Linked DNA regions of Mus musculus. The protein of the gene in region 2 interacts with the protein of the main gene of each other region in a pairwise test. Links are inferred from orthologs where the notes say so. Each region holds a gene or a part of one and is shown on either strand. Other genes may lie near its edges. The genes, in order: Csnk1d, Dvl3, Kat7, Snx22, Wt1, Bahd1 and Syt6.

Region 1 (3,796 bases), on a different chromosome or scaffold from region 2:
ATACAAGTGTGCTTCAAAACAAGCTCTAAAAGGGCAGTGGTGCTTGCAAGAGCTTCCTCAAATTTATCCTTGACCCTAACCCCCCCATCAGTGGGAGACCCTACTTTAGAAAAGGAAGTGTAGTGTAGACTGCTGAAGGAAGCAGTGCTGAATGCAAAGGCTTGAGCAAGCACAGAGAGGAGGAGACGCAGATGTGGATGAGCGAGTATCTGTGAGGAAGAGGCCTGGGAACTAGTTCACACTACCCTACCTTCCCTGAGTACCTCCTTCCTGAGAGACAGACAGGGCAACAGAAGAGGACACCTTACAGCCTGGCACCTCTAAGGCTCAATCACTCACGGGAACCCTTCTTATGCAGCCAGTGCCTTTTCTGGTGTTCTAACGAGAGCCTGGCTAGCAAACACAAATCGAGTTATAAAAACCCAGTCGGTGTGCCAACGACAGACGTCTCCCCAACAAAAGGTACAAAGCAAACAGGTATATTTTGTCTTCACTGGTGGAGAAGGCGGCGGGGCAGGGATAGGGATGTCCCTTTGAGATCGAGCAGAAGAGAAAAAGCTTCACACAGAGTTCACAGCCCATTACAGTCCTAGCCAGGAAACAAACCCTTTAGAAACCCAGCAAGTCACAGGTTCCAATGGGTTAAATATCCACAAAAATAAGAAAAAATGTGGGAGGAAGAAAGGAAATACAGTCTTCACAAATGTCGCCCCACTCCTGACTATGAACCTGAAAAGATCAGTCCTTAAAGAAAGGCAGGGAGAGCCAGTGTCAGCACACAGTGACAAGGACATGCACCCCACACAGGTCTGGCGCAGCTAGGCCTCAGTGAGCTCTACATGCATACCTGTGAGGTGGACATGCGAGAGGTATCTTGTCGGCCCGTGAGATCAGATGAGGAGACGTTGACTGGGGCCCCACGGTGCAGCCGCATACTCACTTTCCGTTCTCGTTCCATGCCAGAGACAGGCCTCGGAGAGGTGTTGGCTGGAGAGGAAGAGAAAGCATAATTATTAAATACCCTTGGACCCACTAGATGGAGAGCGCTCAATGGCCGCAGGCACCTGCTTTTAGAAAGGACCCAGTTTGGGTTCCAGTATCACATGGTGGCTCACAACTATCGCTACCCCAGCTCCAGGAGATCTGATGCCTTCTTTTGACCTTCATGGGCACTGGGTACACAGGCAGCACATATACACACGAGAAAAACACCTACAATACGCCTAATTATCTAAAAACAAACAAACACAAAAAACTCATAAGCCTGTAGGCACAGCAGAAACTAATGACCCTAGCCAAGTACATATCCTGAATCTATTAACTGGCTCAGGGCTACACATAACCAACTCAAGTTCAAGTGCTCAGCAACTGAAACCTGATGGTAGCTGAATGCATTCTAAGGCCCTACATTTATCAATATAAAAGTCAGCCCCGAGTATTCAAAAGTTTGAGAAAATCTATGAGAGCTAGACTTTAAAAAAATTTACGTGTGTGGATGTTTTCCCTACACATCTCTGTACCATGTGCCCAAGGAATCCAGAAGAAAGTGTCAGTTCCCTTGGAACTAGAGAGACAGTGTAAAAACTGACATGTGGGTGTTAGGAAATAAACCCAAGTCCTCTACAAAAACCAGCTAGAGCTCTTAACCACTGAGCGAGCTCTCCAGCCCCATGAGCAACAACTTTCAGGGAAATTAACTTTAAAACAAGTCTTATAAAAGGGAAATTTCTTTCTTTTCTTTGAGACAATATCTCACTATGTAAACCAGGCTGGCCTTAACTGACTAATCCAGTCACATACTGGGATGGTTAGCAATTCATCAACACAGCAAACAGAGGTCCTAGTTTGGTGAAGCACAGTAAGAGGTGTGCTTACCCGTGTGTGAGGTAGGGGTAAGGGGCGTTGGGGGAGCCACTTCCTGGGTTCCCCGCAGACGGCCGGAAGCTGTAGAAGGGAGGCCACGAGTGGCTGGATTCCGGGAGTGTCTTAATCGTTCTTCTCGATCCCGGCGTTCCCGCTCAGCATCATCTGCAGCCCGGCTGGCACCCTGATGAGGAAAGATTAGAATAAACAGGAGGAAAATAGCCTTGGTGGTTTTTTAAAAGGCTAGAGAGATGGCTCAGCGGTTAAGAGCACTGACTGCTCTTCCAGAGGTCCTGAGTTCAATTCCTGGTAACCACATGGTGGCTCACAACCATCTGTAATGGAAATCAACGCTGATATGTCTCAAGACAGCTACAGTATACTCATATAAGTAAAATAAATAAATTAAACAAAACAAAACAAAACAAAAGGAGAAGAGAAGAGTGCCCTTTGAAGTCTCCTACAGCAGGCAGCGACACCAGAAAGTCCATGCTCTCACAGGAATGATGCCTGCACAGTACCAGGAAGGCCATAGTCCCTCTGCACTCTCCACCATACTAGAACTCACAGGTACAACCTGCCACCTTAATCCCTACCTATCAGTGTTGGCATGTGAATGCATTAGAGAAAGGAAAGAAGACTGCCTAAGACCGGGAGTAGAGCAAGGCAGAGTTCAGACGCCATGGCAATGCCAGCCTTTCTACATACAGGCCAATGGTAAGGACAAGAGTCAGATTTCCCCTGGAGCAGAAATCAGAGTCAATGTATCATTCTTACCGCTGTGACACAGAAGGCACCTGCAAGCACTTCCCTGTGCTGCCTGTTTAATAATTAGACTTAGCTGTCTCTTGAACCCCCACCATAGCAGAAGGTCTAGGCATCTTGTGAGCCAGCTCACCCCCTAGGGTCATCTTCCAAGCCCTGGTTGATCAACATCCACACAAGCAGCACTAGGCCCACGTACTTCTAGTTCACAGTGCCCTGCCCCTGTGAGTTGACACGGCGCAGCTGACAAGGCCCTTGGTGCGCACACAGAGGACACAGTTCTTGCTGCTCCTCTGACTAGATACATTACCTACAAAGACTCTAATCTCTACTTCAAATTACAAAACAATTCTCCACTGAAACAGGTCTTGTTTTGTGCCCAAGACTGGCTTCAAGCTAATAACCAGCCTCCCAAGTGCTAGAATTAATTAGAAAGGTGTACAATTGTGCTTGGCTCAGAAATGTATTTTATTTTCCTCTATTTTATTGAGTCTCAATTTGTAGCCCTGGCTGGCTTGGAACTCACTATATAGAGCACGCTGGTATCAAACTATCAAAGAGACCTGCCTGCCTTTGCCCTTCTGAGTGCTGAAATTAAAGGTGTGAGCCATCATGCCCAGTCCAAAAATTTTTAATGGAAATAGACATGCAAGTTTCACAAAGCCTTTAAAGTTAGCAGCAGCACCGCCTGGATGATTACAGGGTTGGTCACCTCAGACAGAACACCAGGCACTTTACCCAGAGGCTCTTCTGAGGTTTATGAGGTATACACTAGATCTGCGATGGGGGTAGGGGTGCTGGAGGAGGAGGGGGGACAGGGCTTAAGATACCACCAGCTTCCTGCCAGCCCAGACCATCATGCCATGCCACCACAGGTAGCTGAATTCACAAGTTCTTATAGTAACTGGAATAATCTAAGGTGGACATGGGGACAGCAGTACTTGTAGCACCTGGAAAGCCAAAGTTCAGTGATTGAGAACCCTTGCCTCCCTTACAGAGGGTCTGAGTTTGCTTCCCAGTACCCACAGAGGCTCACACTAGCTTCTAACTCCAGTTTCTGGGGATCCGACCTCCTCTTCTGACCTTGACAGCACAGGCATACACATTGTTTACATATATACATGCAGACATACTTACACACACACACTCTCTTTCTTACACACACAAA
Region 2 (4,336 bases):
AGTCCTGAGGATAGACTTCAGGTCACCAGGCTTGGTGGCAATGGCCTTTATGCACTGAGCCCTTTCCCTGACTCTCCCAAGGAACTTAATGGCACTAAGTCTACCCCGTGCTTCACAAATAGCTTTGGAGACCAGGTGAGAGTTGGGGACTCCTTAGGTCCCACATTCTGAACCTGAGGTGGAGGCCAGCAGGCTTCCTCCTTTGACAGGCTTTGTCAACGGGGGTTACTGGCCTAGGCCGCCTGAAGTGGCCTCTGACATTCCCAGTTTGCCAAGGCTTACCATCCTTCTGGAGAGGAGAAATCTATAGAATGGCCATTTACATAATATAGTATTCCTCACCGGTGTTGTGTGTGTGTGTGCTCTCTTTCGTTCTGTCTCTCTCTCTCATGTTCTCTCTCTCCCTCTCTCCCTCTGACACCTATACAAACACACATACACATACATACATACATACATACACACACACCTCTACAATGGTGTGATCCAGACTTTATATTTTGGAGTGAGAGTCCCCCATATCCAAACAAATTCTGTCATTTACCAGCTGTGTGGCCTAGGGTCAGCTTTATTGAGGCCTTTTTCATTCTAGTCTCCTGATTTTCATCAGTGTCCATTTCATAGACTGGTGTGAGGACTCCAAGATGCAAGATGTACAAGTGATGACATCACTGTCAGGCAGACTGTAAGTACCATATGATGGGCTTGTAAAATAAAAAATGAAATAAGCTGTCAACGGGATCCTCTGCTATCCTAACTCTGAAAAGGATGGCCTTGCTGGGTCTTTTGCTCACTTATTCTCGTAGATTGGGGGGAATAAGCCAAATAAGAACACCCACTTGATTCTTAGCATTGGTCTCAATTCTGGTAGAACAGCCAACCGATATTTTGCAAAGGGTGCTTCAAGGACCACGGGTAGATACAAAATGGCTTAAAGTGGCATATGATAAATGTTACTTAGTTCAATAGTTGATTTAAAGAAAGATATTCCTGAGCAGTGAGCAGATGCAATGGGGGCCCTCTTATAACTATAGTTAGACCTGCTCCCACGACAACCTTAGGAAAGCAGGAAGCAGCTCACAGTGGTCCCCAGAGGCAAGTCCGGGTAGAGATACAAGACGATTCTAACCCCTCAAGACATCTGGCCTAGCATACCCTGAAATATTATCCCAGTTCCTTCGGATAATAAGAAAGACCCTACTCTTATTCCTCTCATGCCAGGTTGAGACACCTACCTCCTATCCTTAGTTCTTCCAGATATATCATTTTCAGGGTCTTTCAACCAGGTTTGCCTATTCTAGACTAAAGCCAGACAATCATTATCACACAAGAGTCTCATCCCAGGGCAAGAACAGAATCAGTAATAGATCTATTCTCCACTCTCCAACACACACACACACAAACACTTCTAAGAATTCATCGAATGCTGAGTTCCAGGGGTAGAAAATGACAAATAAGTCCGGCAGGAGACAGAAGGTGCTTGCCTCCTGGGGCTGGGAGGGCAGGCCTTGGGAGAGAAGCCAGACTAATGTACACAGGGGGCGGGGGGTTGGGGGTGGTGGTGGGATATCTCCCCTCACCCAGCTCTGGGGCCTCAGCTGCAAGCACAGTGCAGGCCTCAGGCAAGTGCATCAGAGGGACCTTCAGGCCTTGAAGGGCCCAGGGAGGGGTAGGGTGTTTGTGTGTGTGTGTGTTCTCCATAGCCTCTAGGCCGACCGTCCAGTTAATGTAGGCAAGCCTCAGCCCCTTGGAGAGGGGTGTGTGTGTGTGTGTGTGTGTGTGTGTGTGTGTGTGTCTTCCCCCTCCACCCCCCTCTCAGGCCAGCTGCTACAAAACCCTCAGGCTCCAACATTCCAACCTCTCTTAAAGGGGCAGTCCCAGCTTCCAAACTGCCCATCAAAAGCCCTGCAGCAGGGTAGGGAGGGGAAGACAAGAGAGAACATCAATAGGCCCTTCCTAGTCTTCCCATCCAGGCTCTGAAGCCCTATGCAACATCTCTGCTGGGACTACCATCAGGAAAGAAAAGGCCCCAGCACCTGGCTAGTGAGAACTCCTCTGAGTCAGGCAACACCCCATCGGCCCAGGGGAGAGGGGAATCTGCTTGACAAACATCAGGTCCATCATCCAGCCTGGTAGAACAGCCCCCAACGCCTCCTTCTCCAGTTCAAAGTCCCACCAGCTACAGCCCTAGATACAGCACACTCCAAATAAGGCTCTGAGTTGCAGAGCTCAGAAGACCGGGAAGGCAGGCCGGGTGTCAATATACTCCAACTTTATGCTTAAATGGTGGCACCTGGAAGGACTGAGAATTCTGGCTTTGGACTGGAGTGGAAAGGATGTATGTCTCTGGGGGGGGCCGCTGGACCGTGGGGAGGTGAGGGGGCTTGAATGGTAGGAACCGATTGCTTAGGGAGGGACGTCTCGCTGGACCAGGGGGGCAAGGCCTCCAAGAGGTGACTGGGAGTCCCTCAAAGTCAAGTGTGTCCCAAGTCACCGAGTCGCTCCCTTGCTGGAAGCGGGGCTAGAAACCAGTGCAGTCAGGGGAGTCGGAACTGGCTGTGTTGGCCCCTAGCAGCGGAGCGACCCGGGCTCCCGGGAGGCGGGGCGGGGGCCATCCTCACCCAAAATCGTCGTCCATAGACTTGAAGAAGAACTTATAGCTGGGCCGCTGCAGAACGCCCTTAAAGTCCGCCAAGGTGACGCGCTCGGCGGGCAGGGGCAGCTTCACCAGGTACGGCGTCTCCTGGCCGTCCAGGTGGTAGATGATCTTGGTCTCGCCCATGGCTCCGGCCTCGGCCCCGCGGCGCGCGGCCTGCTTGGGCAGCGGGGCCGGGCCTCTCCGGCAGAGCTCGGCGCTCGGCGCGGCCCGCTGCTCAGCCCCACTCAGCCGCCGGCCGGGCCGCCAGCTCCCTTGTTCTCCGGCCGCTCCCGGGTCCCAGCGCCGCCCGCCACCGCTTCCGCTCCCCACTCCCGGCGCTCCGCTGGCGATCGCGACTCTTCCGGTGGCCTGGGCCCTCCCGGCTCTGGGCCGAGCCCAGTGCGGCCCCGCCCCGCCTCCGAGCCGCGCTGGCTGCTTGCGGCCGACTGCCCGCCCACCCACAGGGCGGCGCTGGGTCCCCTGTGCTCCGGGTTCAGGCAGCTGGACCTGGAAGTCTCAGCCCGGTGGGACTGGCGGAACCGTGTGCAGGGTCCCGGGCAGGAGGGGAGGGATGGAAGAGAAGTGTCACCGACTGCAGAAGAGAATGGATTTGAAGACCTAACTGGATCCCTGGATGCCGGGTGGCTTCAACTCGGATTTTTGGATTCTGCTGACAGCACAGTTGCTGCCACCGGACCGTACTGAGTTCCTTGAGGGCTGAGCAAGTTCAAGTTTTTATCCCTATAATCTCAGCGTCTCTATGAACAAGTAGTTTGAGAAATGGACTGAGTGGGTGTGGTAGCGCTTACCTTTAATTCCAGCACTCAGGAGAGAGAGGCAGGTGTCTTTCAGTGAGTTTAAGCCAGCCTGGCCTACAGAGAGCTTCAGGACAGCAGGACTATGGAGGGAACTCCTCTCTTAGAGAGAGGGAGAAATACAGAGAAGAAAAAGAAAGAAAGAAAGAAAGGAAAAGAAGAGGAAAAAAAGGACAAAAGAAAGAGAAAAGAAAAAATTTGAGTTAAGAAAGAATGCAAGCAGCCAGGTGTGGTGGAACATTACTTTAGTCCAAACACTGGATAGGTAGGCAAATCTCTGAGTTGGAGGCCAGCCAGTCTACAGAGCAAGTTCCAGAACAGCCAGGGCTAAACAGAGAAACCCTGTATGATTGGGACAGTAGATGTCAAAACTACCTATAGTCAGTTGGTGGTTCAGCTTCTCAGCTGTAACAATGTATGTCAGGTGTGGCTTTGAAACTCCTGACAATTCTCCTGCCTCAAGCTTCTGAGTTCTCTCTCTGATTACATGCCTGCATTTCAGTCACCTCTTCTGCCCAGAAACCTCTTCACATTACCCAATATGACTTTCATATACCCTCAACATGACACACAAGGCCCTTAATAATCTGACATCTATATACCTCTCTAGACTTTTTCTCATTACATCATAACCAATTTTTTTATTATAAGCAGAAAGCATTCAGTAGCAGTTACATGTTTTCAGTTTATATCCTTCATTTAATCTTTTTCTCCAAATAATGTCTGTGCATAAATAAAATGCATTAAAACTTTTCAAGGTTTGTTTTTACCCCCTGCACAGATTATAGGTATCTGAGATGACCAGGAGAGGGTGTCAGTCTCTTGGAATTAGAGTCACAGGAGCTGGAGAGAGAACTAAGTGGTTAAGACCTCTTCCAGAGGT
Region 3 (3,796 bases), on a different chromosome or scaffold from region 2:
AATCTGAGTGTAGCCCTGGAACTCGCCTTGTAGACCAGGTTGGCCTCAAACTCAGTGATCCACCCACCTGTCTGCTGAGCTGCTAGGACTAAAGGCGTGTGTGCCTTACCCCCAGTGGGAAAAGAGTTCTTTACCAATATTAGCGACATGCCTGTTTCTTCCCTTGCTATATATAGCCCATCATAATACAGATGTCCTAAAACTATATTTGGGAGGAGGTTGCTTGTTCTTTGACTACCCTTGTACTCATACGGAGTTACCGACGGTGGGGTGAGCCGCCATGTGGGTGCTGGGAGTCAAACCCAGGTTCTCTGCAAAAACAACTAAGTGCTCTTAACTACTGAGCCATCTCTCCAGCCCCTTAAGTTCTTCCCATAGAGAACCCTCTTCTAAAGCTTTCAGAGACCTTTCACATCTCTAGTCTGATGCCTCTTAAAGGAAATAAAATAAAAGCTAAAACTGAAGAGTATTTTAAATGACAACCTATGACAATGTCTAAGTTGAAATTGTCAAACTGTCAGGAGAGGTAAGTTGGTATGCAGGCAGGGTCCAAAGACTATATAGTTTTAGGGTATCTTTATATCTTTTCACAAGTCTGTCTATACTTCACACTAGGAAACCCTGTGACTGATGCTCCCAAAGATCGTGTAGCTTTGTGGCCATGAAATAAAATAACTACAGAGACCCCCCCCCCAGCTCTGTTTTGAATATCCATCACCTTTAGGGCATAGCTAACTGCAGTGTCTAAGAACCATTATGACTCTTTGTATATATGATTCCTTCTGCCCCAAAATATTTTGCTCATCTTCAATATGCAAAGTCCTACTGGACTCCTCCAGACTGTTCTAGGAGACCTTCTCACAGAATGTGGTTGCTCCACCCCTGGGCTTCCAAAGGTTTTGTTTTTGTTTTTTTGTTTTTTCAAGAGGGTTTCTCTGTGTAGCCCTGGCTGTCCTTGAACTCAAAAATCCGCCTGCCTCTGGAATTAAAGGCGTGCGCCACCATGCCCGGCTGACCAAAGGATTTGTTAACAAATCATTTTATTTATTTGTATGTGTACAGACATGTATACATACATATACATACATACATATATATATATACATACATACATACATACATAAAACACGCACACACAGTTACTTTTTTGGTTATTTTTTGTTGAAAGCCAGAGTCTCAGTATCTCTGGCTAGCCTCGAACACTCTATATAGACGGGGCTGGCCTTGAATTCAGAGATCTGCGGGCCTCTGCTTCCAAAGTGCTGGGACTAAAGGTGTGCAACACCACACCCGACGCCATATTATAATTTCCCATTTACTCTATTGTTGCAGACTGATAACCACCTTTGTATATTAGCTGAAAAACCTTTCTTCCATGCTGAATAAAACTAGGAGGGGAAAAGCCTACTTCTACATAAGCCCAAGTGACTAAATACATTAGAGAGCCTTCCAAGTACTTCTAACCACAAGCCTTTTGTTTATTTCACTACCAAAGCAACATTCTGAATATTTATTCAAAGTTATTCTATCAAATGTGACTCTATATTCTAGAATTAAAAGTACCTTTAGAAGCATTAAATCTCACTGACACACTCAATAAGCAATTTAACTCTTAAGCCATTTTATAGTGATGAGATAACATTCCCATTTTATCGTTTTACGATGACCTATAACGAACGCCATACAGTCTTCAAGACACCTGCATCTCACATTTATATAAGCCACTGCCTATAAAAGAACATCTGACAGAAACCACTTTGAAGACCGAGTATTTCAGCAGCTGCCTTACACTTTGACCATTCTACCACCTATACCAATGGTTTTCAACCTGTGGGTCTCAACCCCTTTGTAGGTAGGGTATTAAATGATCCTTTCACAGGGGCCAAATGTCAGGTATCCTGCGTATCAGATATTTACAGTATGATGCATAACCTTAGTAAAGCTATGGTTATGAAGTAACAACGATTATTTAATGGGGGGCTGGAGAGACAGCTGCTCTTCCAGAGGTCTCAGCACCCACATGGTGGCTCATAACCATCGATAATGAGATCTAGCGCCCTCTTCTGGCCTGCAGGCACACACACAGACAGGTGCTGTACGCACAATAAATCTTTAAAAAATAATAATTTAAAGGAGGGGGGTCACGAAAACATGAAGAATTGTACTAAAGGGTCGCAGTGTTAGGAGGGCTGAGAACCACTGCTCTCCATCAAGCTCAGGAGCAGTATCCCTATGAACCAGCACAACAGAATGACACCACTGTCCACTGTGAAGAAGTCAGGGGAAAGGAAAACATGTTTACCTTGGGAACTCTGGCTTAGCCTGGCTGAGGAGCGGGTGACTCGGGCAGATCGGCGCGAGGTGCCATCACTCTCTGAACTGTCTGTATGCTCGAGATCTGTAGAAAAATCGGAATCTTCGGTTCCATCTGAACTACTGCCTGCATTTCTCTGCAATACCATAGATCCAGACATTAGCACAAAAGCATTTACTACAGTTTTCTATTAGCACTGGAAGTAAAATGAACCATGATGCTGAAGTACCAAGTTCCAACATAAGGAAGGACTCCACCACCAGCCAGCCTTTCCCCTCCCTGCTGTGCAGAGGCGCTGCCCTTCCTTTCAGACATGCTAGTGGAATGACCTACAACCAAACCACCTGTACTCAGCAGACCGAGAAGAGAAGTAATTCTTCGTGTATTATCACTAATTCTGAAACAATCTGGACTGAATCACTAGAAATTGGAAATAAAAGCACCCAACCCAACAACAAAACACCCAAATCAAAATGGTCTGGCTAGTCAAGAAAAAAATAAAAAGGACAAACGAAAGAAAAAGCACAGTCCAGTGGCTGACAGCACAGGCCGCTCCGGCAAAGGACCCTAGTTCATTTGCCAGCACTTGCCCACTTGGTAGTTCACAACTGAAGTCTGTAACTCCCGCTCCAGAGGGAGCCAAATACCTCCAGCCTCCGCAGGCACCTGTTCTCACACATCCCTACACACATCCAGATAATTAAAATAGTACAACTAAACCTTAAAAAAAAAAAAGGAAAAGAAAAAGTCCAAGATGGCATATAAAATGTTATTGCTAGGCCTCACTGAACTTTGGGGTAAATTTTATTCAAATTCTCCATCAACAAAAATTATATTATATATTATAATATAATAAAAATTATATTAGCTGGGCATGGTGGTGTATGCCATTAATCCTAGGAGTAAGAAGATCTCTGTGAGTCCAGGGCAGCCTGGTCTACATAACAGAGTTCCAGGACAGCCAGAGCTACAGAGAAACCCTGACCGGGGTCATTTCAAAGTATGTTCTTGGGGCTGGAGAGATGGTTTGGTGGTTAAGAGCATTTGCTGCTCTTCCAGAGGACCTGGGTTCAATTCCCAACATCCATGGCAGCTTACAACTACCTGGAGCTCCAGTTCTAGGAGCTCTTTTTTTTTTTTTTAAGATTTATTTATTATTATATGTAAGTACACTGTAGCTGTCTTCAGACACACCAGAAGAGGGAGTCAGATCTTGTTACGGATGGTTGTAAGCCACCATGTGGTTGCTGGGATTTGAACTCTGGACCTTCGGAAGAGCAGTCGGGTGCTCTTACCCACTGAAAGAAATTAACCAAAAAAAAGATACAAATTATTTTCTTAACCATCAGTCCTCAAAGTTTCTCCACATGGATGTTATAAGTGCTGCTGGAAAGGAATTTATACTAAAAACTAAATAGGTATTCAAACCGGGCTTTTTAAAAATTAGATTTATTTTACTGTATGTGTGAAAGTTTTGCCTGT
Region 4 (4,448 bases), on a different chromosome or scaffold from region 2:
GTACTAGTGCAACCCACCCACTCACCAGGCAGAGACTTTCTAGCTAGCTCCTGTGCCTCATCTTAAGCTTACACCTGTCAGGCTGGGCTAGAAAATACACCTGACTCTTCTCAGCCTACCTCTGAAATTACCTCACACCTTTCTCTTTATCTTGACTTCGCCACGACCCCTGGGCTTTTAAGAGTCTTGAGTTCTACCAGCTACAGCTGTCAGTGCAAACCAGGCTCAGAGCTTTGAGTGGGGATGGGCACATCTGAGCCTCAGCCAGTTACACCTGAGTCTAGTCCAAGGGAAGACCCATTTTCCTGAGACTGAGGCACATAGCTGTCCTGAAAGGTGGCCCAATGCCTGGGCTAGTCAGGGCACTAGTGATGGAGCAGGATGACAGTTAGCCTCTGGCTGGGCTGGTACCGGGCTGGTGCTGAAGCCATAAAGACCCTGGAGCACGCCGTCCACCACCACTTCTGGGAGAGGTTCTGTGGGGGAGACAGTGAAGGAGAAGGAGCTAGCAGGTGATACGCTTGGCCTTGAGCTTGCAGCACTCTGAGCTGCCCACAGGCTCAGCCGTCTACCCAGAATGAGGCGCCAGTGGCTTTCTCTCTTCCACATCTATTCATACTAGCTTTGGAAGACAGGCCCCAGGGGAACAGAGACCTGGTGAGCCAACTGTATTACACTAGCTTCTACTAGTCACAAAGCAAGCTGCCAGTTACAGGAGCAGCAGGTGGTAACCCCAGAGGACAGGAGGGAGGTGCTGATGGGAACTCACCTGGGGAAGGGGTGCAAACGTAGGGATCCATACAGAAGCCAATGACCGGCCGGTGGTGCAGCTGGGAGCTGTGTGAGAGAGGAGTTGTGAACAGTGAGAGTGGAGAGGTGGCGACGCAAAGGCTCATGGGATGGTCACTGAGGACCAAAATCCATCCCCAGGGACCCACAGAGGAAAAGGAAGAGACTGGCTAACAGGCTGCTGGCCTGCCTCCTAGCACACAACCACCAGGGGTCAGCAGGCCTTTAGGGCAGGACTTTGACTTGCCTGGTGTCACTAGGCAGGAATTCCCCCAGGGTGCTGAAAAGAAGAGAAACACTAAGTTGCTTGAGGATACCCAGGGGGATGGTGAGGAGGGGGTGGAGACACTATAGCCCAGGAGACTCTTGCTTCTATTTTGTAACAAGCCCAGTTCCGGAGGTGGAGGCAAGGCAGTTAGAGTAACCAAAGCTGTCCACCAAAAAGCAGCCCCTGTTCCAAGTCAGGAAAGGTGATGAGGGAAGCGGTGTATCAGAACCAGGCCAGGGCCCAGTCCGTTCAAAAAGGAAAAAAGCTTATCCTAAAGGTTCCCTTTGCGGCCGAGGGCCTTGCCACGTGAGCAGGGTTATCCTTACCTCCAGCTGCTGGTCTTGGAGTCTGTAGGGAAATGTCTAAGTCTCAAGAATTCCAGTAACTCCTTGGGCACATCCTGATTCAGGTACAGGATGCCCTAGAGAAGAAGGCAGAGAAAGTCTGCAATCAGATAAGATCCAGCTACTAATTGCACAACCCATTACAACAATTTTGAGGACATTTGTTCCAAAATAATGAAGACTTTCAAGGCAGTAGAAATAAGTATTAGCCCAAACTCAGGGTCATCCTAAGGAATGAACCGCAAAGACTAGCACCACAAAGTGGGCAGGCTAGTCAAATAACTATCACTGTTAGAGGAAGGAGTCCACACACACCTCATGAAGAAAATACAGGAAAACACCCTAAGGGTGAAGAATCTACTCATTGGATTATTCAAAACTTTCAATAACCCAGATAGAAAAGTTCGTACTCATTTGGATAAAGAGCCTGAGATACTGAATAACAACCCCAAGTTGTGGGACCCAACACACTCCCACATCTCTAACTGGGTCTCCCCTGGTCCCTCAGACTTAGGGGCAACCAAGTGTACCCCGTGCACACCTGGATGTAGGTCTCTAATCCCTGCCGGCGCTGTTCCAGTCCTCTGGTCCTCCAGTTGGGCAGGCGTTTTGAGGGAAAGTCAGGCACTTTGTACCGTTTCTTGATCTGTACATCAGTTACAGAGGTGAGTTCCCAGCAAAGCACTCAAGCCCACTGCATCTAGCTGAGGACTTTCTCCAGTCCTCTCTATATGTCTGTCTTTAAGCTTCAACCTGGGACAGCTGGCAAGAGGTGGTTGGGACAGAAGTGACAAGCCAGAGAGTGGAAAGGACGCACACGGACAAGGTCAGTCTGAGCTGAGCTCTAGCCATTGCGTCCTCCCCGCGAGGGGCCCTGCAGCCCAGGGGGAGTCGCCTATGATCTGCACCCTCCTGGGGGCTGGGACAGTAATGGGGGTGACCAACCAGAAGCTGGGATCAGAGCTCTTTCTCATGCCACCGAGGGACCTGGCCTGGAGCCAAATCGGTGGGTAGTCCGCGACATCTCACCCGCTTGTGTAGAGCGTGGAACTCGCTGTAGCGCCGCGGCACGGTGTGTCTGCGTCCGCTGTACAGCACCTCCACTTGGAACACCTGGCGGGCGGAGGAGTGCAGACGGCGGGTCCAAAGGATGCAGTAGGACCCGCGCCGCGAGACGCGCCCAATTTCTGGTGTTAGAAAGGCACAAAGCCGACTTGGCGTGCCACCATCAGGGAAACCCCTTCCGAACCCCAGACACACCTGAAAGAAAAGGGTAACCGGCCCTCCCCTCTGCTCCAAGCGACCCCTCAAGAGCCCAAACCATTGTCCAAGGGGCTGGCAAAGCCAAGTAACCCCGAACCTTTGCGACGAATGTCCTAGCCCTGAATTCTGGGTCCCTTTTGCGCTGATCGCGAAGATAATCGGTAGATCCCCGCACACACTCTTCGTCCATTTGCTCACCATGTGGCCTTTCTCTGGACTCTGCCTGGGCCCTTCGGCCTCGGGCCCCACCGAGGGAATGTGAACTTCCAGCATCCGCGCCCCGACCCGGCTGCAGCCTCTCCCGGATCGAGCGCTTGGGCACCCGAACTCCCTGGAGCAGCCAAGCAGCCCTAAGAGGCTGACCCGCCCTCGGGCTCCAGGCCCTGCCCCCGGGCCGTAGGCTCCGCCCCACTCTCTGGATTTTTCAGCCCCAGGCTCCACCCTCTGATACGGGAGCCCGCCCTCGCCACGCCCAGGGTGTTCCCTGGCTCACTAAAGTCCTGAGGCCAGAAGATAACACCATGGGTCGCCATGCAAGGGAAGGAACCTTCAGCAGGGTCACCCATTTGTCAAACATTTCCCTAGTATCCCAGGTAGTCAGCCGAGGTACATTTTACCTGGTCTCTCTAAAATTTCACCTGGTCTTTGTTGAATGTCCTGGATGCTAAGGTGTCAGAGGAAGGCACAGTGGGTTTCAGGTCTGGGCTTCCGGTTAGGACCATCCTTGTTCTTAGAGAACCTAGCCACCACAACCTTCCCTCTTTCATGTGGTCCCTGGTAGCACCACCTGAAGACTCCAACTGAGGTAGTGCCGGGGTGAGGCTGGGATCCATTCTAGCTTTGATGAGCACCTACAAACCATTCATTTATTCCATCCACCCGTCCATCCATTCATCCTTCCTACCTTAGCATGCCTAGTTTGCTTCAAGCTAGTGTATGGGGAAGAGGCAGTTTAAAAACCCAGGCTTGGCACTGAAAGTCGAATGGCCTAGATATCAAGAACTGTGTGGAGTTTCTGCACAGCTGTAAAGCAGGTAACATAAGTATAAACACTGAGTGAAGCTGGGCGGCACGGGCCAGGGGTTCCACTTATCTATGAGGCTGAGGCAAGAGAATTGTTTGAAACCAGGAATTCAAAGTCAGCTTGAGCAACTCAGCCAGGACCCAATAGTGGCTTCCTTATGGGCTTGTTCAGCTGGGATGGATGGGTGATGATGGACAGATAATAAGAAGTAGGTACAGAAATGTGTGTAGAGAAGAGGAACAAAAATGAGTGTAGAGGCGGTGGCCCCAGCTGCTCTCATCCGCCCTGCTGGTCTTCTTCAGAATGTAGTAGGATTTTTGTTTGGCACATTGCTTAGTTTGGGTTTGGTTTTTCTAAATATGTAGATACGTTTTCTCTGTGTAGCCCTTGCTGTCCTGAAACTCCATCTTTAAACCAGGCTGGCCTCTAACTCAGAGATCTGCCTGCCTCTGCCTCCCAAGTACTGGGATTAAAGATGTGTGCCTGCCTGGCTATAGTAAGATTTCAAGACAGAATGATCACTTCATGTGTAAACACAGAAATGGCTTCCATTTCTACCTCAGCCCCACACTCCTTACTGGGCTCTAGGTAAAGTGCTCAATGGCCCAGTGTTCTGTTCTCAAACTGGGTCATGTGTGATGGTTATTCTGAATTGCCAACATGGCTACAGGTAGAGTTAACTAAAAAGACAAAACAAACAAACAAAAAAAAAAGACCACCAAACCGGAGTTTTGGTTAACAGCAGGATCATTTGAGGTAG
Region 5 (3,796 bases), on a different chromosome or scaffold from region 2:
GGGATGGAGAGCTAGCTACTTCGTGGTCAGTAGGGTCTTTCCATTGATGGACAGCTCCAAGTTTCTTTTCCTGTCTCAAGACCTCTGGTGCTTCTCTGGTTTCTGTGTGTCTCCTGTAGCTGACCTCACTACTCTGAACCCTCCTCGCCCTTCATCTTTATGTCCCCGTTCCTACCCATCCAAATGCTAAGCACACACCCTTCACAAGGCTGCTTGCTCGGCAATGCTGTCTTATGGTTTGAAATGGAATGTCTCCCACAGACTCGCGCATTTGACCCCTTGGTCTCAAGCTCATAGTGTGTGAGATCTTGTGGAACATTTTAGGATGTGAAACCTAACAAGAAACAGCAAGCTGCTGTGGTTGTGGCCCTGGAGACATAACCTGGTGCACTTCTGGCTCTCATCTCCCATCTTCCGTCTCCCTCTGCTTCTTCATCCAGAGGTATGAATGATCACCTTCATGCTCCCATTGCTTTAAGGATGTTCCCAACATTATACATTCCCAGCCGTGATAGACTGTGTTCCCAAACAGTGAGCCAAAGGGAAGCCATTTGTGAGGTGTTCAGTGACAGTGGTGAAAGAAACGTCTGGTACAACCTGCTTGGAAACCTCACGGCCTTCTTTATCAAAGAACTGATTCCCGAACATCTATGTGTGTCTTTGGACCTACCCTTCAAAGTTTATGGTGACCTTGCCTGTCAATCTCTGAGCCACCTGATTGTCCTATCCCAGGCTTGTCTTCCCTGTTAAAGATGATAATAGTGCTTCAGGAATAACACTACCATGTATTCAGTCCAGGAGACACAGGTCCTATGCTAGGTGTGTTATAGCTACAACTCCTGTAGCACAGCTTGAATTAAAGTGCAAGGCTTGAAAATTGTGTACTGTTATACACGACAGTATACAGCATTGTCATCCTCATTGTCCTTACAAGGCACTCCGAGTTCAGAAGGATGTTGAGCGATGGTGGCTCAAGGTCTCATCAGTTGGTGGTGAATGCAACGTTCAAACAGGTGTCACTTTTATTCTGTGGCGTTTGCTTCTCACCACCCTGTTCTGCTTCCTTGGATATGGCTGAAAATGTTGGTTTCTTTAATAAAGGATGGGAAACCAACATGCCAACAGCCCTGCAGCTTCAGAGTCACCTTGGCTTGAGCTTTCAAAGCACAACCTTTCTACCCCACAAGTCACCTGTGACCTGAGCAGTGTCAGAGTCCAGAATGGAGGCTCATGAAGCACCATGGCTCGACAGTGGACACACTTACCAGTGTGCTTCCGGCTATGCATCTGTAAGTGGGACAGCTTAAAATATCTCTTATTGCAGCCTGGGTATGCACACATGAAAGGACGTTTCTCACTGGTTTCAGATGCTGACCGGACAAGAGTTGGGGCCACTCCAGATACACGCCGCACATCCTGCAGGCAAAATATAAGAGGCATGGAGACCTTGTGCCATATGTGAACATTAATGTTATCCCATGGGAAACAGAACGCTGAAATATACCAAAAGAAGAGAAGGAAGGTAATGATATGAGACAAAAAAAAAAAAGTTTGCTTCCATACCCTAGATACCTGTGACAGACATCACTAACGGATGATAGATTAGGAAATCTCATGATGCAGTATTCTGATTACAACTGATCAACAGAACTTGGATTTGAAATGAAACTTCTTGGTGTCCCTGACACAGAACCTCTAGAGAAGAAGCATTAGTGTCTACAGAGTTCCCAATCTATCTCTCACTTGAGATAGAATTCCAGATCCCCAGAGGGTATGCATGCCTCCCCATTGGAAACATGACCATTTGTTTATGGACTCAGCCAGAAAAATGGATGAGAAAGTTCTTATTGGAGAAGACATGAGACACTAAATGAGGCCCAAAAGGACCTAAGCTTCACATCTAAATAAATGATAAACAAGTCTTTGGATCTGGGGCCTCTGAATCCACCAGATTACTGTAGTATAATCAGCATGATCCTTGAAAGTGACACAGGAAAACACTGGGCGCTGTCCACCTTCTGTGACTTTTATGTCTTATTTCCATAACACCTACCAGTTCCTGTCATTTAGCAGGGAAAACAAATCTCCTTTCTTGCCCTTAAGCTGTGATTCCTTGATATTAGAAATAATTCCTCCTTGTTCAACTACAGATGTGTCCATCAAGGCCAAAGGCATGGACAGCTGACACAGGAACACATCTGTGATGGTATGAAGACCTGGGCCAATCTCTAAACCAGTGGTTCTTAACCCTCTTAATGCTGCAACCCTTTAATATCATTCCTCATGTTGTGGTGACCCTCAACCATAAAATTATTTTATTGATACTTCATAACTGTAATTTTTCTATGTTATCAATCATAATGTAATTATCTGATATGCAGGATATCTGACATATGACTCCCAAAGGAGTCATGACCCACAGGTTGAGAACCACTGCTATAAGCTTAGTAACTCCCTCTTCTATGTATCTTCCGATCTGCCCATTCACACACTCACATTCTTGTTACTAGTTCATTTCCCTTGCCCTGAGAGGGCACTTTTTTTGTAAGGAGAAATTCAGTACTGTATTGGTAGGTCATAATGTATGTCAATATTTGCCTTTCTACCAGGGCTAATGGTGGTATACAAATGAATCATAGGCCAGTAATTTGTTTAGCATATTGTAGAAGAAAAAGAGTAAGTGGGGAAATAACACCTGTACAGCAAGTGTGGTGTCTACTAGAGGCTCTGACAGTGGATCTGATAAACGGAGTCTGGTAGGAAGGAAGGCACAATAAGCCTTCTTCATCTCTTTTCATCTGAGATGAAGACCATGTAGGATTAAGACTAAAAGCAGCCGTTACTGTCAGTCTGCCGTCTTCTGAATGATGCTGATGGTGTCTGCTGTGGGACACTCACATAACTCCTTCTATCACATCTCTGCATTTCTGAGACTTGTTTATTCCTCACCAGAGAGAGTCTTGTGATAACAGAGAACACTTTACTAATTCCATGAAGTAGATCTCCTTGCCCACACCACATAGGGCCTGGCCCACATGCAACTTATTTTCAGGGTCTTAGCTTCCCTCCAAAGGACACTCTAGCTACTTCTCTTGTGGCAGCCACTGAATTGCATTTGTAAATAACAGATGTGAGTCCTTGGTAATTGTGGTTCTGACTATCCAAAAGAGGCTTGGGGCCAGGTAGGGCCTCCCCTTGAATACACTACATTCTCTGAGATTCTTCACCTACCCTGGAGATCTCTCCCTCCTGTTTCCACTGATCAACAATATTATTTTATTTCTACCAATCAACAATATTAATCAGCCAAACAAGGATTATGGAGTCTGATAAAATATGTGTTGTACACCTGAGCTCCCACTTACTAGCTATGTGGTTTTAGACAAGTCTTTTGTCTTCTCTCTTAAGTGTGCAGTGAGGGTCACATGAGAGAACAAAGGCCTGCATAGACATGCAGGAATCATAGACACAAGTGGCTAAGTCAAAGAAGTTAACCTGAAAATGCCACACAGAGTATCCAAGAATGTTCTGAGAAAGGGGCGATAATTGTTGGGAAGAGAGAAATGGGAAAGGGGTATGATGTATAGGTAGTGAGCACCTTGGAAACAGTAACCTATGCTGTATAATACTAGATAGGTAGGTACATACATACATACATACATACATACATACATACATACATACGTAGATACATAGATAAGTAGATAGATAGATAGATACATACATACATACATACATACATACATACATAGATACATAGATACATACATAGATACATAGATAAATGATTGAGAGA
Region 6 (4,536 bases), on a different chromosome or scaffold from region 2:
TGCTCAGCAGGACTAGCAAATAGCCTTAGGGACATTGCCTAGGGTTAGACTGCAGCAAAAAGAAGCCAGCACAATTGAGTAAGAAACTGACATGTGGAAGGGGTGCTTCGGAAGAAAGATCTGGTAGCTAGCTGTGTACAGACTGGACCAGAAGAGCCAGAGGAAGCAGGAAGAAACTGACCCGGGAACATGGCAACAGAGAGGGAAGGAGGGAGGGAGACACCAAAAAGAACAAACCAACCCCAGCAATGGTAGTGCACACCAGGACGCAGAGAAGAGACTTGCTGCCAGTCCCAGGCTAGCATCCGTTCTAGAGTGATAAGAGGTACAGGAGAGAAACAAGGGAGGAGAGGGACAGAAAGAGATGGCTACCAAAACCATCTCAGTTAATGGCTCAACTCCCCAGGGCCAGCCCTCCCAAACACTCATCTGACAGACAAGTATCTCCTGCCAGATTAAACCCCTGCCACAGAGGGAAATGTTATTTTGGCAATTCCCACCTTCCAGCAGCCAAACCAGGTCACCCTTCTGACTGCCACCAAAAGAAATCACACACAGTGCAACCCCAGCAAAAGGAAAGATTCTCCAGCCTTCTCTGGATTTTAGACATACAATTAAACTCTCTCCAACAAACTTCAGTCTCTTGTGTGAGGTAATACCCCCTTTCCCCACAAGCCTCAACTCCACCCAAGCTGGGGTCCAGACTCTCCTGGGGAGAGAGCGCCGGGGTGCTATGAATGAACTCCATACCCTGTTCCTGCTCCTTTGGCAGACAGCAGCTTTCTCACGGTGGGCTTAGAGCCAAACACAGCCGAGTGCTGCTCTCGACCAGTCCCACTGGTGTGCCACTCCAACCCAGATTTTTCTCAGCAAAAGGCCATGTTCTCAGCTGTTATCAGCCTGAGACTCCTCTCTTCCTGTTCCCAACTTAATCACATGAGGAGGGGCACCGGAGCCGAGTGGATTTTCTCAAACGGGTAAACATCATACAGCCTAGAGCTGCTCACCCGCTGGGGTTAGCGCTCACAGCTTAAGCCAGAGATCCCAAAGTGTCCTAGAACAGTGGTGTCCCCAAGAAATGTGGTCTCTCTGAGGCTTTCCTTGTTGGTGGAAGATTATGGAGGTAGAAGATGGGGAGAAACGTGTCAGGTGGTACAAAAGAAAGCTGGAAACCTTATTTTATGTCTTCAAATTTCTGCCTCAATTTATGGACTCAGCTTTATCATGTCCCTATGTGGGTACCTTCTTGCCCAAGGAAGACGGCTACAGCAATAGTGAAGGCATCGCCAAGCACAGTGGGTGTGTGTGTTGGGGGGTGGGGTCCCTTAGTCCCAATCCAAGTAGCCGCCTGTGCTCTTAAGACTGCCGACAATGGGCCACTAGGAGACATCCCAGGTGGAGTTAAACCTCTACCGAGAGGCAGACTTGCTGAAAGCCTCACTGCTAGCAGGCTCCGCTCGCCTCTGTGAGTCCACCAGCCCATTCGCCACCGGCCAGGGCACTCGGTGCGCACACCCCTCAACCCTGCCCCTCCGCCTTGGCTAAGTCGACCCCACTCTTCCCGGAGCCGCGAGGATATCTGCGGCTACAGACCAGAGCCAGTGCCGCAGCTCCTCCCGGTGGACGCCCCGGCCCCCGCAGTCCCCAGGGCAGAGTCCGGCCCCGTGCCCGCCCCTTGGGGTGGGTGCCCCGGACTCGCTCCCCTCCCCGATACCACTACCTGCGCCCGCTCGGGCGCCGCCTTTGTCCGGCTCTTCACCGCCGAGCGGGCCCCTTGGGCCCGACCTGACCCGGTCCACGGCCCCAGAGGAGAGGCGGCGGGACTGGCAGGGCACAACCAGGCCAGGCCTGGAGCACCGGGTCCCGCTGTCACTTGGAGGCGGTCTGACAACTTCGATTCCCCCCGCCCCACCTCGGACTCGGCCGCCGCCCCGCACGGTCCCCACAGGGCCTCCCGCGGCCCACACTCGCTGTTCGAACCGGTCCCCTTCCGTCTTCGGCGCCTCCCTTCCTTCAGCCCGACCCGATCGAGTCCACACTACCCCTCGCCCTGACGCGGCCCCCATCCCCATCCCCCCTCCGGCAATTGCCGGTCAGCTCCCAACCCGGGAGGGCGCCCCCCACCCCGAGAGGGCGCTCCCGCGGCGACGCCCCCAGCCGCGGCCCCTAGCCTCCGGGACCACGATGGGGGAGGGGGCTTGGCGGGGGCCTTGCCGCCCGCGCACTCGGAGGCGAGCCGGCTCCGCCGCGGCGAGGAAGCACCCCGCGTCCTCCCGCCCTCCGTAGCCCGGGACGCCCGCGCCGCCGCCGCCCGGCCAAGCTGCCACCCTGCGGCCGCCACCCACCCCGCCCCCGGCCTGCGAGGCGGGCGCCCCCCGGGGGCTGTCACCTCGAGGCGCGCAATGCTCCCCGATGGCGGGACCGCAGCGCCGGACCCGGGGGAGGGAGGCGGCGCGCGCGGGCGGGCAAGCAGCCGCACCTGCTTCTTGTCGTCCGTCCGTCCCTTCCCGGGGCTGGCGGGGGCGGCGGCGCGGCGCGCTCGGCGGGGCGCGCTGACGGGCGGCCGGTCCTCTCCCTTTTGCTAGTCCGCCTACCTAGCTCGCTCGCTCTCGCTCGTTCGCCCTCCCCTACCCCCTCCTGGATCCCGGCTCCTAGCTCACCGGGACGAGAGGCGCGGACGGCGCGGCTTCGGGCGCCCGCAGGCCCTGGCCGGGCTGGAATCCGGCGGCTGGAACCCCCCGGGGGCGCTCAATTCCCGGGCTCCACGCTGCTGCGTCAGCGCCTCCTCCTGGGGGCCGGGGCCGGGCAGGCGGAGCGGGGGCCGCGGTCGGGCGGGGCCGTCGGGGGGGGCGGGCGCGCCTGGCCGGGGCGGGCGGACGGCTAGGGCCGGACGGGCGGGGCAGGCGGCCGGACGGGCGAGCAGCGGGGGCCGGGCTCCGGGATCCGCTACGCCGCTCGCGGTTCCCCCACAAACTCCCCGAGAGCGGAGCCTCCGCCGCCCTCCTTCCTGCTTCCTCGTCCTCAGCCAATCAGCGGCGCGCCCCTCGGCAAGCTCCGCCAATCAGCCGCCCCGCCCTGCGCTGGCCCCGCCAGCCAATCCGGCCCTCGGCTCCCCCTCCCGGTCTCCAACCAATCAGAATCGTGGGTCGGTCGTCCCGACGCAGGGGGCAGCACGAGGCGGCCGGGGGAGGCGGTGCGGGGAGTGGTGGGGCCTGGGGGGAGGGGTACGGTGCCAAGGGTGGTGGCGGGGGATGATTTTCTTTGCCGGCTTCTTGTATTTTCTCCTGGTCTTTGGAGCCTGAGCCAGTATCCCATGGTGACCTGACCCTGAAGCCCCAGCACCTCACTGCAGACCCCCACCCTGAAAAATCTTAGCGCGCCCCCTCCCTGACCATCACCCTTCTACATCCCTCTTTCCTCGTAACCTCTCCAGCACCGGCTACAGTAAACTGAGGGTCGAGGGGGCACCTCACCCTCAGGCTGCTGCCCCCATGGCAAAGCTTCGGGAAGACCAACCGAAAAATTCAAGCAAGAACAACACCCCCTTTCCTCCTGAAAGGGCCCCAGACTCGCGCGAAAGGGCCCCGACTCCTGAGAAGCCCCTCCCGCCCTTGCCTCATCTTTCCGACTTCCCTGCTTGCCACGTCTCCTTTCCTTCCTAGCAAGGTCGGTCCTGGCTCGGTAACCCCTCACCCGCATCTCTTTTTCCTCTTTCTGTCCTTCACCTAACGCCCCCCACCCCAGTTCCCAATTCGCCCTCTTTCAGAAGCCAAGTGTGGAACCCTCATCCATTTCCAGCTGACAGCAGAGTCTGGTCTGTGAGTCCTTGACACCCACACACCCTCTTCCACCACCGCGGGGAACATCAGAGCTCTCCGGTGGAGAGGGAAAGGGGCGGGCAGCCCAACAGGCGCGGCTGGACACACTCCTTCGCGTCCCCAAGCTAGTGTAGAACCAGTGCAGACACTTACCTAGCTTCCCCATAGTCGCCTTATGCTGTGGCTCCGTCTCTCACACCCACAGACGTGCTTTTCCAAGCCTGAGCACGCTCTCGGGGTCAGCTGGGTGGGTGGGCACAGCAGGCTGAGGTCATATGAAGGGGTGGGAAGTCCCTGGGAGGTGCGGGAAGGGGCTGTGTCCTGGACACCTTGTAGCGCCAGAGCCAGCCCAGGACTTCACTTCAAGGAGCTGTAATGTGCACACAGTAGGTTCTTGAGAAATACCGAGTCCACCCCTGAACAAAGCCTCATTTCCAATTCAGGCGGGGGAGGGGCGCTTTGGGAGGTAAAGGAGCAGGAGCAAAAAAGGGTAGTGTCAAGTCACCCGAGCCTGGGAGCAGCCGGGGAGGGGCTGGGCCCTGGAACGCCTAGGGCAGAGAAGCGCCCAGAGTGCTGAGGAAGCCTGGTTAGTAAGCAGGAAAAATCGAGCCTCGGAGAGTGGCTTAGGGGCTCCTCCTGCGCTCTATACAGTTCCCCACCTTTCCTAGACCGTGCTACTGACGTGCACTGACCCGGGCAGCTTTTAAGGTAACTAGGG
Region 7 (3,796 bases), on a different chromosome or scaffold from region 2:
ACACACAATTAGATTTCTAAACATATGTGTGTGTGTGTATATATACAATAAATAAAATAAAAAAATTAAACCCTGATTCTTTGAAACCTTTCTGGGCCTATTTCAGGTGATGGCGGGCAGGCTAGGATCAGACGTTGTGTGTGGATGTGGCCCATCTCCCAGACTAATGAGAGGACCATGCTCCAAATGAGGCACTGCGCTATGTGCTGTTCGTAAGCGGCTGAAGCCCTCCTTCTGGACATAGCAGGATTGCTTTGCTCCTGCCTTGTCGAGATAAAGAACTCCATGTGTCTGGTTTCAGCTAATGAAATATGAATGGAAGTGACATGTCACCTTTGCCTGGAAGCTTTACAGAGTGCTGCCTGCCTTGCTGTAGCTTCTTCATCCTGATGTCTAGTTGTGGGAACACACATTGGAATAGGGTCCCTGTGGGCTTGAGTCCCCTGGTAACAAGGTCCAGTAGAACCCACAGGCAGGCTGAGAAGCATATGTAACACAAACAAGAAATAAACCTTAGTTGTCTTAAGCCAGAAATTCCCAGTATTGTTTGTTACTTCAGCATGACTTTGTTCATACTGACTAACACAGCCTGGTCTTGATCACCAATTTCAAACTTCTAAAATACAGCAATGACTCTACTGACTAGTTCAGCATAGATGCGCTTTCAATTAAAACGAATATATAACATGATTGTATAGATAGCAAACTAAAGGTTTAGCAGGTAGAGAGAAACACTCATACCCTACAATCAAAATTAAAAAACACAGCTTCTTTCCCTCCCTCCCTCCCTCCCTCCCCCCCCTCCCTCCCTCCCTCCCTTCCTCCCTCCCTTCCTTATTCCATCCAGACTGAGTTCAAGGACTTCCTCAAAGCAAACTGGGCCACGAGGAAGTTCCCATAGTTCCCTATGTACCTCTAGGGGGACAGAGTGCTGAGGACACTCTTACTCAACTCAGAACTGCCCATGCTCAGGAAGCCAAGGGAAGAGGCCTGTACTCACACTAGTAGCGTACTGGATGTCCTTCCAGATGGAGGTCTCCCGGGACAGGTCAGAGGCCTCAAAGAGATTGTCCAGGATGACCTCCCCAATCATGTCATGGCGGGAGAAGCGGTCAAAGTCAAAGACACTGAGATGCAGCTTGCGGTCAGCCAGCTCCTCGTAGGGCACGGGGAAGTGGAAGTTCTCATCAAAGGTGGGGTTCAGGGTCTTGCGGTGCACCCGGGTCTGCAGCTTGCACTTGCGGTCAGGCAGGAGGTAGATCTTAACATAAGGGTCAGAACTTCCGCAAAAGTCCTTGGCAGGGAGGTCAAAGGCCTTCAGGATGCGCACAATCAGCGTCTCGCTTTCATAGTCATAGCGGAGGCTGAAGTTGATCTTCCCACAGCTCTTGGCGGCCTCCGACTTGGCATCATCCCCATCCACTGACTTCTGCTTGTAAAGCTCAGGCTTGATACGGCCAATACTGGTGGGCTGCTCGGCGGCAGCCGGCGGCAGCTCATTGCCATAGTCCACGCTGGAGACATGCATCTGTCGTGGCAGGTGGCGCTTGAAGGATGTGTGCCTGGTGAGCACAGGAGACACAAAAAACATGCGTGAGGGCTTCGGTGGGGGCTGGGAGAGTGGGCTAAAGGCAGACCTAACCCTGCTGGCTCCTCATCCCTCTTATGGGGCTCCCCTTCCTTCCCTCTCATTGACCCCACTTTTCCTCTTCATACCATTTGTGCATGAAGCAGTTGGAAGCATTGTATGTCTTAATATATGTAAAGTAGTTGGAATGGTGCCCGATGTACAGCAAGCTCAATAAATGTTAGCCATTGTTTTAATCATTGTTCCTGCTTTTCTGACATCTGCTTTCTAGGTTTCTTTCCTGGTAAGCATGACTACCCCCCCCCCTCCATTAAAGCATGAGCCTCTATAAGAGAAGGACTACTGTTCCCACTGCCTTCACCATCACCATCACCATCACCACCACCACCATCACCACCACCACCGCCACCACCACCACTGCCCGCCATCATGACGGATCTAGCATCCCACAGACAGTCAAGTAGTTAAATGCATCGGCTTAGGAGATAGACTACATAGGTTAATTTTGGTCCTGCTACTTTGAGCAAGTGATTAAACTCTCTGCACTACAAAAATAAAGATGGTAAAAGTAACAACTGCCGAGAGTTGTGTGATAGTAAAATAGATACAGTGTTTAAAACAGGGCCAGGTGTGCGATAAGCAACATGTGTTAGCTCTCAGCACTGTCACATGGATTCTTTGGTAGTTCCTCCTAACAACCGAAGCAGAGTCATTTGCCCTGTTGCACAGTTTAGAAAAGTGAGAAATAACTCACTTTAAGCTATATGCCCAAAGCCATACAGCAAAGTCAGCCTGTGCCACCTTAGCACACTCATTCCTGGCTTCTGCTCTGAGTACTCTTTCCCTTTGATTGGTGCCTGTGAGCCTGAAGGAACACACACCACAGGGATCCAGGAATCCACAAGATTCTCAAATTCTGAGTAAACGTGTCTTTTAAGGATGTTTTTGGAGTTAGAGTAAGCAGGAAGCCATCCTGTCTGTTTTTGGTATGCTTTTAAATTAGATGAGGCCATGTTATGTAACTACTGCCATGCGGGGAACTCAAAGGGCATTAAAGAAATCCTTGCTCTCAAATAGCCTGGGCCCACTTGCTTTACCTCCAGTGCATGACACACTGCAGCCACGAGGCTTCACTAACCTAGCCCTTAATGCATCGAGAACTCTCACGCCTCTGGGCCTTTGTGTATACTCGTCCCTGTGTCTGAAGTTTTCCCTTTCCTCAACCTAGCTTCTAGTCTAGTCTTCTGTGTTCTCGAATTCACTCTCACGTGCTAAGCACATGAACAGCATCTCACCTTGAAGGTTCCTGGTTCATCACACCTATCCTGACACTACCTCCTCTTCTTGATTGGCACCTGGGCTGACACCATCTGCTCTGGTCCTCAAAGAACATATGCTATTAGTTCTGGGCCCTGATCCTCAGGGGCTGGGATCTACTTGATGCTCTGGATCAGAAAGTATGGCTGCACGGAGGGGGTGTGGGGTGGAGTTAGGAAGTGAGGAGCACGCCACTCACCTGGTGGAGGATGCTGGCTCTGTGGTCTGTCGCTGCAGCTTTGTGTGGCGCATGATGTGCTCTTTGACCGACATCTGCACCTCGGCTGGGATGTCTGGGGAAGTGTGGCTGATCTTCACAGCTGCCTCCAGGAAGCCCAGGGCACTGGGGTCCTTCAGCTTATCCGCCATGTTGCCTCTGGAGCTGGGGCTCTGGAGAGTCTCTGAAGCAGGGTTAGCAGAAGAAGGGCTGGAGGCCTCTTTCTTCCTCCAGGGCATCCAGCACAGCTTCCAAAAGAGAAAGAGAAAAACTGCCACCAGGGCCACGCCACACACAATAACTACCACGGCGAGGAGGCTGACAGAGGTGCCTGCCCTCAGCATGAGGCGGGCAGGGCAGGACAGAGAGACACACAGAGGTGGGGATACGCAGGTGAGGCATTGGAAGAAGGCGCACACGGAAGGGACAAAGACGGAAGAAGAGAGAAGAACGGTTATGAGCAAAGCTACCAAGTCACGGGAAGAAGCTACGGTTTGGACCGCTGATGGTCCATTTTGTCAACTGTCTGCAGCCTTGGCGTTCACCACAGTCTGGTTGCTTTAGCATCACCCTGCCCCAACCTTTTACCAGCATGGGGAGCACTGGCGGCTTACCCTACTGCCTCTGGCTTGTGCCCAGGGATGGGACAGTGATTTAAATGAGATTCTATCAAA

The links.
Region 1: the proteins of Dvl3 (region 2) and Csnk1d interact in binary tests that used the Homo sapiens proteins (3 or more experiments, as listed by UniProt). The two-hybrid records come from large-scale screens. The link is inferred for Mus musculus from reciprocal best matches to the Homo sapiens genes DVL3 and CSNK1D.
Region 3: the proteins of Dvl3 (region 2) and Kat7 interact in a two-hybrid assay, tested with the Homo sapiens proteins (2 studies listed by BioGRID and IntAct). The two-hybrid records come from large-scale screens. The link is inferred for Mus musculus from reciprocal best matches to the Homo sapiens genes DVL3 and KAT7.
Region 4: the proteins of Dvl3 (region 2) and Snx22 interact in binary tests that used the Homo sapiens proteins (3 or more experiments, as listed by UniProt). The two-hybrid records come from large-scale screens. The link is inferred for Mus musculus from reciprocal best matches to the Homo sapiens genes DVL3 and SNX22.
Region 5: the proteins of Dvl3 (region 2) and Wt1 interact in binary tests that used the Homo sapiens proteins (3 or more experiments, as listed by UniProt). The link is inferred for Mus musculus from reciprocal best matches to the Homo sapiens genes DVL3 and WT1.
Region 6: the proteins of Dvl3 (region 2) and Bahd1 interact in binary tests that used the Homo sapiens proteins (3 or more experiments, as listed by UniProt). The two-hybrid records come from large-scale screens. The link is inferred for Mus musculus from reciprocal best matches to the Homo sapiens genes DVL3 and BAHD1.
Region 7: the proteins of Dvl3 (region 2) and Syt6 interact in binary tests that used the Homo sapiens proteins (3 or more experiments, as listed by UniProt). The two-hybrid records come from large-scale screens. The link is inferred for Mus musculus from reciprocal best matches to the Homo sapiens genes DVL3 and SYT6.

The regions. Positions count from the first base shown.
Region 1 is NC_000077.6:120,967,148-120,970,943, forward strand, and holds part of Csnk1d (casein kinase I isoform delta), read right to left. Parts: intron 2,048-3,796; coding exon 1,876-2,047; intron 988-1,875; coding exon 848-987; intron 1-847. UniProt on the Homo sapiens protein: Essential serine/threonine-protein kinase that regulates diverse cellular growth and survival processes including Wnt signaling, DNA repair and circadian rhythms. It can phosphorylate a large number of proteins.
Region 2 is NC_000082.6:20,515,641-20,519,976, reverse strand, and holds the start of Dvl3 (segment polarity protein dishevelled homolog DVL-3), read right to left. Parts: upstream 2,992-4,336; 5' UTR 2,783-2,991; coding exon 2,622-2,782; intron 2,339-2,621; exon of another isoform or gene 2,197-2,338; intron 1-2,196. UniProt on the Homo sapiens protein: Involved in the signal transduction pathway mediated by multiple Wnt genes.
Region 3 is NC_000077.6:95,303,747-95,307,542, forward strand, and holds part of Kat7 (histone acetyltransferase KAT7), read right to left. Parts: intron 2,451-3,796; coding exon 2,303-2,450; intron 1-2,302. UniProt on the Homo sapiens protein: Catalytic subunit of histone acetyltransferase HBO1 complexes, which specifically mediate acetylation of histone H3 at 'Lys-14' (H3K14ac), thereby regulating various processes, such as gene transcription, protein ubiquitination, immune regulation, stem cell pluripotent and self-renewal maintenance and embryonic development.
Region 4 is NC_000075.6:66,066,744-66,071,191, forward strand, and holds the start of Snx22 (sorting nexin-22), read right to left. Parts: upstream 3,017-4,448; 5' UTR 2,938-3,016; coding exon 2,863-2,937; intron 2,515-2,862; coding exon 2,431-2,514; intron 2,048-2,430; coding exon 1,943-2,047; intron 1,479-1,942; coding exon 1,384-1,478; intron 1,070-1,383; coding exon of another isoform or gene 1,037-1,069; intron 838-1,036; coding exon 770-837; intron 477-769; coding exon 358-476; 3' UTR 1-357. UniProt on the Homo sapiens protein: May be involved in several stages of intracellular trafficking. Interacts with membranes containing phosphatidylinositol 3-phosphate (PtdIns(3P)).
Region 5 is NC_000068.7:105,164,438-105,168,233, reverse strand, and holds part of Wt1 (Wilms tumor protein homolog), read right to left. Parts: intron 1,417-3,796; coding exon 1,266-1,416; intron 1-1,265. UniProt on the Homo sapiens protein: Transcription factor that plays an important role in cellular development and cell survival. Recognizes and binds to the DNA sequence 5'-GCG(T/G)GGGCG-3'. Regulates the expression of numerous target genes, including EPO.
Region 6 is NC_000068.7:118,899,882-118,904,417, reverse strand, and holds the start of Bahd1 (bromo adjacent homology domain-containing 1 protein), read right to left. Parts: upstream 2,804-4,536; 5' UTR 2,661-2,803; intron 2,520-2,660; exon of another isoform or gene 2,480-2,519; intron 1-2,479.
Region 7 is NC_000069.6:103,584,999-103,588,794, reverse strand, and holds part of Syt6 (synaptotagmin-6), read right to left. Parts: intron 3,454-3,796; coding exon 3,105-3,453; intron 1,563-3,104; coding exon 1,001-1,562; intron 1-1,000.